3 linked regions of the Drosophila melanogaster genome follow. The protein of the gene in region 1 interacts with the protein of each later gene in a pairwise test. Each region holds a gene or a part of one and is shown in the gene's direction. Other genes may lie near its edges.

Region 1 (3,756 bases):
TCTGGCCAAAAAATCATTGATTTGTAAGTGTAACAATGGGTAAAAGGTGGGCGGGCGTGGGGGAATTGGCAAATGGGAATTTTGGGGGTGGCAAAGCTAAAATAGAATAATGAAAACGATGCCAAGAGTGAAAGAAGCGACATCAATATGGTTCTGAATTCGAAGATGGCGGCCCTTATTGTATTCGTGTCTGTTTCCATGCATCTGTGTGTGTGAGTGAGTGTTTGGTTGTGTGTGGGTAACTTCCGCAAAACTGGAAAACTAATTTGAACAAAGTACAACAAATAAAAGTGACTACTGAATGTTTAATTTGAAAAGGGAAGGCTCCAAACACTGAATGGCGAACAACAACAATGGCTACAACAACAATGTCTAACAACTGGAGAACAAAAACAGCGAAAATGAAAAAGAGAAATAGTACAAAACTCACTTGGATACAAGTACAAATGCAGCAAACACATGTACGTCCAACCCCCTCCCGTCCCACCCACTCTACTGCTCTCTCTCTCTCACTCTAGTAGCCCCCATTGTGCTCGGAGGATGTTGGTGAAAATGGTGCATTTGATTCCATCTCACTTCCACACCCAAATAAAATATACAGAAAAAAAACCAATATTATCTATATTAGATGTATTGTATATTGTATGTATTGTTTTAAAATTATATTTTATTTCGGTTTTTTCGCATTGCTAAAATGACATAACTGTTCTATGCATTTTTTTTTTTTTTAAATGTATTTAATAATAATACATTGTATTATATACATATTTCAGTTAATCGTTCTTAGAATAACCAACAAAATATATCCTATGAAAATAAATACAATTCTACTTATCTAACTGCAAAGAAAAGTCCCTATAACTTCGTTACTTAACTTAAGTAAGATTTGTGGAATTTGGACTTTACATAATTAAACACATAATTAGATTCTTTTCTTTTTTTTCTTTCTGTGCATAGGGACAGAGGGCTGGGAATGAGATTGCGAGCCCGAGAGAAACCAAGAAACGTCGACATACGGTTAGAAAAACATTCGCACATAAAAATGCCAACATTTGAAGCATAACATTTGGGGCAGAGGAGCAGAGTGGTGGTTGGCAGGGCGAGTGCGAGGACGAGGGAGGGCCGCAGGGGAAAAGGACGCCTGCCTCCATGTGGCTGACATAATGAAACATTATTAAGAGCCACGACGTCAAAGCGGCAAAAGGTATCTAAATTTGCGCAAAATGTTTATCCCCCCCACCGCCGCGTTCGTTGGCTTCTGCAGTCGCTGCCAATTTGCCGCCGCTTGGAGAGAGGAAAACACAAATATCGCATTTACAGCCAGGGCTCTCCACCATTTTGTGAGGACTTGCAGCGAGTGGGAGAGGGATGGCACGAGCTAGTTCGCATAGATTGGTTCGCAGGATATCAACCCATCCCCCGCTAGAAAGAGAGGCTTGGCCGGGCTCTCTTGCTCTCTCTCCCTCTGCTGCGATGCTGTCGGGGCGCAGCCAGGATGCTGCCAGGATGCCGTCAGGATGCTCTGCCCGCGCCAACGGCGACGTCGGCAGTAGAATCACAGTTATTCGAGATACGAAAACACAGCAACGGCGACACAAAAGCTCAGGGAAACGTCAGCGGCAGCGGCAATGGCAGCGGTTTTTCATAAATAAATGTTTGAGTTATGTAGAAAAACATTTTGGGCGAGAAGATTTTCGTTTTCGTTGCGATTCAGTTAACATTTGGCCAGCGGATTCCGCCTTCAACGGACGCGACGACGGACTAGGCGCTAGCCAACTTTCCACTTTCCACACCACTGCTGGCCATATGTACAGTTTATCCTAGCAGCTAAACCGGAAACGACGGTAACAGCGAACGGTTAACGGAAGCGGAAATAGAAAAGAAAATATCAAATTCCAAGTTGAATCGAAAAGCATATGCAAATGCCAAGTGAAGCAAGTGAAACGCCAAAACGAACACAGTTCCTGAGCAAAATAGTTAAATAACAGTGTTGCGTCCTCTAAATTTAGTGAGTCCAATTCGCGGACTCAAATAGACTACAGTGTATACCCGCTAAGACATGCACACCAGCACGGATCCCATGCACACATTGCACGACAGCGTCTCCCTCTCGCCGCCGCTCATCAAAAGCTCCAGAGGCGGCTCCTCCATCGGCAACGGAATCGGATGCAGTGCGTCCTCGCGCACTGCCGCCGCAGATGCCATGTCCATGGGCTGCGACGACAGCGACATCGAGCCGTCGTCCATGGGCGGAAGTGGTGCCGCCGGCGGCAACGGAGACGGCTCGGGATCTTCGGGTGGTCCCCTGGTAAAGCCACCATACTCCTACATAGCTCTAATCACCATGGCCATTCTTCAGTCACCGCACAAGAAGCTCACGCTCAGCGGGATCTGCGATTTCATCATGTCGCGGTGAGTTTGCCAGCAAAGTTAATATCCTTAAATGAAGAAGCAATAGTTTGATTTTTTCCAAGTTATCTTAAAACATCAGAAAAAGAGAATAAAAGTAGTAGTTTGTAAAGACGATAAAAATAAATAAATCCTATAAAATTTCAATTGAAAACATAGAAAAGAAGAGACATTCAGTGCTTTAATCGATTTCAAAAATTATAAATTTTAAAATGTGATATTTTATTTACTGATTGCAATGTAAGTGATCTAGATAAACAACCAAATTCTTTAAAAAAAATTCCTCGAAAAAATGTTAAATAACTTGTGCATTTTACTTGTAGCTTTCCATACTACAAGGACAAATTCCCCGCCTGGCAGAACTCCATCCGGCACAATCTCAGCCTGAACGACTGCTTCATAAAGGTGCCCCGCGAGCCGGGAAATCCCGGAAAGGGCAACTTCTGGACGCTGGACCCGCTGGCGGAGGACATGTTCGACAACGGCAGTTTCCTGCGCCGGCGGAAGCGCTACAAACGGGCGCCCACCATGCAACGCTTCTCGTTTCCGGCGGTCTTTGGCACGCTGTCTCCATTTTGGATACGCAAGCCCGTGCCCCTCGTGCCAGTGCATTTCAACGTGCCCAACTTCAATGGGAGCAGGGAGTTCGACGTGGTCCACAATCCGGCGGATGTCTTTGACTCAGCGCTGCGAGCGGACAAGAAGTTTAACTTCTTTGCGAATGCCGAAGCATCCTTCTACCAGGGAAGTCAGTCGGGGGACAAGTTCGACCGGCTGCCCTTCATGAATCGCGGTCGAGGAGCGGATGTCCTGGATGCACTACCGCACAGCAGTGGCTCCGGCGGAGGAGTGGGCGGGGGATCCGAGAGCAGCCGTGGCTCCAAGTACAAAAGCCCATACGCCTTCGATGTGGCGACTGTGGCCAGTGCTGCGGGCATTCCCGGCCACAGGGATTACGCAGAACGACTGTCCGCCGGCGGTGGTTACATGGATCTCAATGTGTACAATGACGATGCGGACACAGAGGCCGATGCGGAAGCCGAGGGAGATGACGACTCATGCGAGGACAAGATCGACGTGGAGAGCGGCAATGAGCAGGAGGACTCACATATCTCGGACTCGGTGGACAGCGCCTGTACAAATCGCCTGGATGCGCCGCCGGAAGCGTTGATCTTTGAGGCTTCTGCCGAGGCGTCCGATTCAAGTCCAAGGAGACGCTTCGATAGCGAGCCCCTGGTTCTGCGGACCAGCAAACAGAGCAGCGCCAAGGACTTTCGCATCGAGACGCTGATTGGCCACCACCTGCATCGCGGTGGCAGCCAGGAGGAGACCAGCGACTAGGCGGGA
Region 2 (3,756 bases), on another chromosome or scaffold:
GACGCATGTGAAACATCGGAATTGGCCATATCATTATGGTTAAAATAAATTGTATATTTACATACATACATACATATATGCATGTTCGGATGTGGCGTGCCAGCTCTTAGCCAGATTTGCAAATCGGCAACGAGTTGAACGAACGATGGTAGCAATATTTTGACCATCATCATCATTCAAGAGATGACAAACTGCTAAATATTGAAGCAAAAACGTGGAAAAAATAAAAGAAGTGAAGAGAAAGGCAGCCATATGAACCACATTGAATGATTAACACTCTTTAATAGCATTAATGTCTTCATTTGTTTAATTTACTAATTGATTTCGCCAAACAAAACGCTGTATTTTAATGCTTATTGGCTAGTAACCAGAATAACTTGGCTTTGGCTTGGCCAGTAAGTAATAAAAGCCAACAAATGGTAAATAATAGATGGTGGTATCATATCGGACAGTGAATAAGGTCAGTTATAGTTTATTCAGTAGGGGTTTTAGTAAGCGATCAAACTAGTACCCAAAATGAATTAATAAAGGCAAGATAGCAAAGGAAAGAGGTTAGTATTTGCTGGTCAAACCGCCCGTTTTGAGGTCAAACCAAACCCCCTTGAGGGAGTTGGGGTAAATAGTTTTGCTTGCACTTAAACGAAATCAATGCGATTAAAATCGACTTGGCCCAGTCTTGCGGACGGCCAACTGAACTAGCCTTATCAACCATCGAGAATCGGTGTCAGCTAATCGAGCACCCACAACTACAACAACAAACCGCTGTCCCCAATAGTGGAGCACCACTTGGTCATTCCGACCACGTCGCATGGAAATGGAAAACGAGACGAAAACAGAAATGGAAACGGAAAACAAACCTAGAAGCCGAAACCAAAACAGAATAAGAAGCAGCGCCACTCCAAACATGGTCAACGAAATTTGTTTTGTGTTTTGTCACTTTCTCAGCCCAGAACCAAAGAAACACAAACGCGTCATATGGGTGCGCCCTTCAGAAAAATGTGCACAATAATGGGCAAAAGTGTACATGGCTTATAAAGTATTATTCTTACAAATACTGTGACTATAAATCGGATTTAATAACAACTAATCAATTCAATGGACAACTCAGCATTTGCATTATATTAAACCTCTAATGTGAACGCGCTTATGATATTCAAAGTTCAAAGTGTTATTTAGTCAAATAAGGTAATATGTCTGCTAGTAATTTGCCCCCTGCTGTAGTAACTATGTACGTCATTTGCAGGGGTTCTGAACCCAACCCATAGCAGTGGTTCACGTTACACTCGAGCACGTTCTTATCGCAATTAATTGCAGCGCATTGCATAAGCATCGCAAACTTATAGGGTGATACCAAAACGTAAACATAATCTCTGACTCAGCCCAGTGGGTAGCAATTATTAATTATAATTAATAAGCCAAAAGCCAAGGCAAGTCTTGCTTTGATTGGCCAAAAACGCAGCCAGAAGCGGAAAACAAAAACTGAGTCGAATTACACCACAGTTCAAGGGATACAAAAGGGAGTGGGCTGGGGGTCGATATCTGGCTAAGATCGGTGAGCTTACCCAGCCGGATCGGCACTGGAGCGCATCTGAGTGTGTCCACGTCAGCGGGCATCCAAAACAGAGCAGAAATCTTGAGATCCGAGTAATCTAGATATTGTCCTTCAAGTCAGTATTGTGCCACTCAACTGATCAACTTAAGTAGCTTGGAAATTTACATCAAATTATGACAAGTTGTTAGAAAAGTAGTATATACATATTCCTTGGCACGGGCCTTAAAGTAATATACATTTCTTTCTTATAAAATGTTTAATTTTATTACTTGATTTACTTGCAGTTGCATCTGAAGTGCAAGAAGGAAACAAATTAAATATTCACTAGGGCGGAATACTAAGGAAAACTCAAGCCACACACTGAGGAAATCAAAGTAGGAACAACTAAAACTGTAAGTAGTAACGCAAGGAAAATAAGGGAAATTGGGAAAAGGGAAAACAAGCAACATCAACATCTGCAAATCATATGCAGAGCGTCACTCGCATATGGATATGAGATTTCAGATTTTCGTGACCATATCCGGTTGCCAGTCAGCAGTTGCAACTGCAATTGCAGCTTCCATCAAAACAATAGCAAAAACCAAAAGACGAAATGCGGAGCGAACTGAAAACGCAACTTGGGTCTTTTGGGGCCCAGGGAAATCGCATCTTGGCATTCGCCATTGTTGCTATGGGGATTTTTTTCTTTTTTGGCGGGGGGTGTACAATAAATATAGGGTGGAAGTTGCGTAAAACGATGATATGATATTCACACATAGATCGGGCGATAACATCAATAACTAAAGATGATGTGGAAATCAGAAGGTTCAAATGATGTGCCTATAAGGTTACATACATAAATAAATAGATAAATACATACTCTTACATACATACAAAGGTTGTTTTCTAGTCTAGCAAATGATGTTTTAAATAAGAGAAATGTATTTGTAAGAGTACATAACTTGTATCATAAATTAATAATATTATTAAGACTCAACAATGGTTTGGTCTAAAATAATCCACCATTTGATTCAGTGTTTTGAATCCAAATTAAGTTAAGTTTGTTTTTGTTTTGATTTATATCCAGTGTTGAATAAGCTTTTCATGTACTGTGTGTGTGTGTGTGTGTGTGCATATGTTTATGTTCATCTTATCTTGTTTATCTAGCATTGTATAATTAGGTTTAGATTTTGTTAGAATAAGTTTAGATACATCCAGTGCTGTATAATGTTCCAATAACTACATATTTATCTAGTATTGCATAATTCATTTTAGTGTTTAAATAAGTTTAGATAAATCCAGTATTGTTTAATTTGCTGATGAACTTAGCAGTGATTGGCCGAAAGTGGGAAACCTAACCTCATGTTCTAGAAAAAGAATCGCCAACAAATTTCAAGTAAGCAGTGCCTTCTGTCAACTCGAATGTCATTTGGAATTGCCTGAGCTCTATTCAGTTTCGTATACCTCCGGATTACACGTACTAACGTTTGAAAAAAAAAAAACTAAAATTCCAATCAAAATGCCACACAAAAAATTTCCCAGAATGTCACAGGCGCAACTCAAACGTTTGATCAAATCACAAAATCAGAACATAGCAAAGGCCGCGTGTATTTTGGAACCCCCAAAAATTATACAGCAGCCGTCGATGAGGCAGTCCATCATTCCACCGAATCCTGCTTATAGCAAGAAACAGGGCAAAAATGCGGCTCGCCCAAATTCCGAGCGAGCTGGAAAGGTGCCAATGCAGGGGCTGAACCACGTGGTGCCGGAGGACACTGTGAAACAGGTGAAGCAATAAGTATAGTGCAAAAAGCGGGCTTATCGCATAAAATAGTACTTTCAGCATAATCAATCTAAGCAGATGCAACGCAATCGAAGGAATCCATCGTCGAAGATGCAACAAAATGGCAATGAAGCATCCAAGCAGGAGAAGCCCAATCAGCACGAGGACAAGAGCCGTCCCAAGCAGTTGTATTCAAGCGTTGTGGCCAATAAGCAAGACGGGCCCACCGCAGTGAATGCTCCTCCACCCAAGGAGGGCTCATCTGTCAATCAAATTGGATCGTGTTGTCATCATGGCAATGTTTCGGGCGAAAAGCAGAAATGTCCGGATACCAGCTCATCATCCGCCACGTTCACTTGGCCCAGTCAATCGGTTAAAAGCCAGGGGTTTTTCGGAACTAGCGATTCTTCAGCTGACCCATTCAGCATGCAGAATCTGAAGA
Region 3 (3,651 bases), on another chromosome or scaffold:
TCGAAAAGAAATAGCAAAAAGACGACGCTTGCTACGAAAATAGTTATTCCTCGCAAAAACCCTGTAACGTGTAAACAAAGGCCGCTGCCACGATGCCGCGCACCAAGATACCAAAGAACTCCAAACGCAACCGCGAGGTGGCCAATCGCGAAGAGAAGGTGCGCCTGTACGAGCTGAAAATGGATTCCCGCCTTATCAGCATCGATTCGCTGGAGACCAAGTTCCTCTCCGCCGTGGACCACCAGGTGAAGACACTGCTCGGCCAGGTGCAGAAGGAGCTGGCCAATCTGAAGATGCCCGAAGTGCTGCGCCTCTTCGAGGAACTGGACCGCTTCAGCGACTTCAAGGCCAGCGATCAGACGCAGCTGCTCGCCTCGATGTCCATGAGTGGCAGCGCCATCGAGGGCCACGCCCCCTCCGCCACTGGAAGTCGCAATGACGAAGGTTTGTTGGCCTATATATGTATGCTGTTATACCAATCTGCTGGCAAGGATGTCATCACCCGAATTACAAATGAATACCGGTTTTACATGCCAAATTGGCAAATTCCATTGTATATTCGGTATTCATCATACCCTCTTGTTGCCATTTTCACTTTTAATTTTAATCTAACTGGTGTCCGGCTTTGTGACTAACTCAACTTTGCTTTCTAACTCCGCACCGCACATTTCAATGCACGCAAAATGCATATACCCACATCCACATCCTGTGCCGGTCACTGTATCTAGGCTACCTTACAGAGGACAGCAGCATCGGTGCCAGCGGTGGGAGCATCCTGGCCGCCCACACAGGCTCCCTGCTGCGGTCCACGAAGGCCATGCGCACACCCGGACCACTGCACTCGGCGAGGGCTCGTCGAGCGCGGCGCAGTCGTTCCGCCTGCGGGGATCTCAACATATTGCACTCGGCCAAACCGCCGTCAATTTCGAGCAGCAGCAGCAGCAGCCGCAATTCGCGCAGCAAACTGCGCACACCGATGGCCTCGCGTGCGAAGGCCTTCAGTGCCGACCGCACTCCTTTGAAACAGAAGCAAATGCGCTCCGGATCGCCAACTACACCGCCGATGGCATTCCTGCGCTATCCCAAGCCCGGCGAGGTGGCACTATCCAAATACGGCAGTCCCATGGTGGCTCAAGTGTAAGTATTGATCACATACTACGTGTCGATACCAATTTGTTAAAACCATTTTTCCCACACGATAGAATGCCAGACAAGTTCGCCAATGTGAACATACCCATTCGGAACGGAGTTCTTAGCTTGCGGCCCAAAAAACTGGATGCCGACGAGGTGGAGTCAAATCTGTTGGAGAACCTGGACGAGGACACCCTTAACCAGATCAAAACGCTGCACGAGAACTTGCAGATGATTGTTAATAAGGCCAGCCAGGCGGTGTTCAAGTAGCTGTCATTTCAAACGCTTATCTAGATATAATGCTATATCATATATTTTAATACGTTTCGTTTAAGTTCAGTTTTCATTTTACTCATTTAGTTCAAGTATTTTGTCTTTATTCATAAAAATCTATCGTATTTGCATAAGTTTCAATACATGTTCATATCCAAGTGTACGGCGATTTAAATGTAATGTTTTAAATACATGCTTAATCCAAAAAAAAAAAAATGAAGCGTTCCATGATGATTACTCGCCTTCAAGCAAAACGACGGAGAATCGAAAGAGATGAGAAAGTGAGAATCCAATTTAATTCTGCAATGGATAAAGTCGATGAGATGGCCAAGTTGTTCAAGCAGGATGTGGACAACAAATTGGGTTTGCTTCAAGCCAGGACTGATGCTCGTTTGCTGCAGATGAAATGGTCGGATTTCATGGCTCTAGCAAAAACTGCTACCTTCAAATAACATCTTTCTTTTGCTAATTGCAAAAGAGGCAACCGCTTTTAAGTTCCCAGATTTCAGAAAGTGGCCAATAAAATTATGTTATGTTAAAAATGTTTAAAATGTATTTTCGCACGTTGATATGAATACAGTTTTGAATCGCTTGTTCACCAAAGAGCCCTTTGACTTTGTTAGAATTAGGCGATTAGTTGACTGGAATATATAAATCGTTAGAAATATGCCTCGCACCAAGATTACAGCTCGTCGTCAGGCCCAGCGCCAGAAGGCTGATCGCGAAGAGAAAGTGCGCCTGTCCCAAATCAAAATGGATTCGGCTCTGGAGAAGATCGATGAGATGAGCAAGCGCTACAAGCAAGAGGTGGACAACCAAATTAAGGTGATCCGTGGTAGGACTGATAAGCAGCTACTGCAAATGAAGATGCCAGAATTCTTGGCTCTCGGGTTTAAGACTTTTGCCGAATTTCAGAGGGCAGGTGAGATTTAATTTAACTGTCGGCAATAGAAGAGTAATTGTTATTTTTGTTTTACTTTCTTTCCAGCTATTAAGCCGCCCACAACTCGCAGTTTGTCCATCAGTCGTGGTCGAACACGAACTCCGCAGAATGCCCTGCCACCGAGGCTTCAGGCGCATTCGGTGGACAGGGCTCTGAGTGGCGACACCATGAGCTTTGTGCGATGGCCCCGCGCCGGAGAGATGGTGCTCTCGAAGGCGGGAAGCCCGCTGGCCGTCCAGATGCGTCCGGATCGCTATGCGGACGTCCACATTCCCACCAGGGGCGGCGTGATCACCGTGAAACCGCACAAGATCAACACCGTGAAGCGGGAAGTACTGATGCAGCTGGATGAGAACACACTCAACCAGGTGAAGACACTGAATGCCAATCTCGGATTAATTGTGGACATGGCCAACAAACTGGGCAAATTGAAACCGTAATTGCTAGCTATCATAGGAAACTTTAAGAACGCGTCTATTACGCTTATTTCGTTAATATTTTATTTAGTCTTTTTCATTTTCTCATTTTCAATGTTTTTGTTCAGTTGTTAAACATTAAGTGAACGTGTCTGTTGTTCTTGTTGCTGTTTGCTGCTTTTTGCTTGCTTCTTGTTGTATAATTAATTAATAAATTTAATTAATTGTATGTATATATATATATATATATATATCGATTTGTAAGTACAAACATAGCGTACAGAATACCGTCTCCACTAACATTAAATTTAATTGTTTAAACATTTTTCTATTGTGTTGCATGTGTGTGTTTTGTGTGTCTGTGGGTGAACATTCTCAATTATGCTTGTAAGTATAGTACTTAGTTAAATTAAAGTGTATTGTGTTTTCATTGAAATGAAATTCAAGTGAAACTTTACTTGGTTTCCTAACTTTTCAACTTCACTTTCAGTTGTGTGATTCCTTAGACAAACGTTACATTTACACATATACAGATTTAGTTATTAAAAATTATCATTAATTTTTAGTGTGTATAGTGTTAAATTTAGCATTTGTTTCTTAGGTTTCCCATTTGAGTGTGAAATGTGAGTGGGAGTGGGGCGTGTCGTACGCGTTTATATAGTTACAGATACATAAAAATACAATACATAGCAAAAGGTACATATATAGAGACTTAAAATACGCTTGTTTTCACTGAATTATTCAATACGATTTTTAGAGACAAAGACAACATATACATATTTGGACAATCAATTGATACGTGTAAACAGTGACAGATGACAACAACATAACATTCAGATTTGTAACATTCATTATGTTTGTGTGGATAGGGTTTGAGAGTTTTCGCAA

The links.
Region 2: the proteins of fd59A (region 1) and CG12992 interact in a two-hybrid assay, tested with the Drosophila melanogaster proteins (one large-scale study listed by BioGRID).
Region 3: the proteins of fd59A (region 1) and aust interact in a two-hybrid assay, tested with the Drosophila melanogaster proteins (one large-scale study listed by BioGRID).

The regions. Positions count from the first base shown.
Region 1 is NT_033778.4:22,866,443-22,870,198, forward strand, and holds the start of fd59A (forkhead domain 59A), read left to right. Parts: upstream 1-1,716; 5' UTR 1,717-2,059; coding exon 2,060-2,412; intron 2,413-2,732; coding exon 2,733-3,750; 3' UTR 3,751-3,756. UniProt on the Drosophila melanogaster protein: Involved in development during embryogenesis.
Region 2 is NC_004354.4:17,587,152-17,590,907, forward strand, and holds the start of CG12992 (uncharacterized protein), read left to right. Parts: upstream 1-1,713; 5' UTR 1,714-1,779; intron 1,780-1,836; 5' UTR 1,837-1,944; intron 1,945-2,806; exon of another isoform or gene 2,807-2,863; 5' UTR 2,864-3,050; coding exon 3,051-3,317; intron 3,318-3,365; coding exon 3,366-3,756.
Region 3 is NT_033779.5:9,249,428-9,253,078, reverse strand, and holds aust (australin), read left to right. Parts: upstream 1-2,036; 5' UTR 2,037-2,070; coding exon 2,071-2,326; intron 2,327-2,392; coding exon 2,393-2,787; 3' UTR 2,788-3,031; downstream 3,032-3,651. Other genes in the region: borr (borealin-related), read left to right, coding at 93-444, 729-1,137, 1,203-1,401.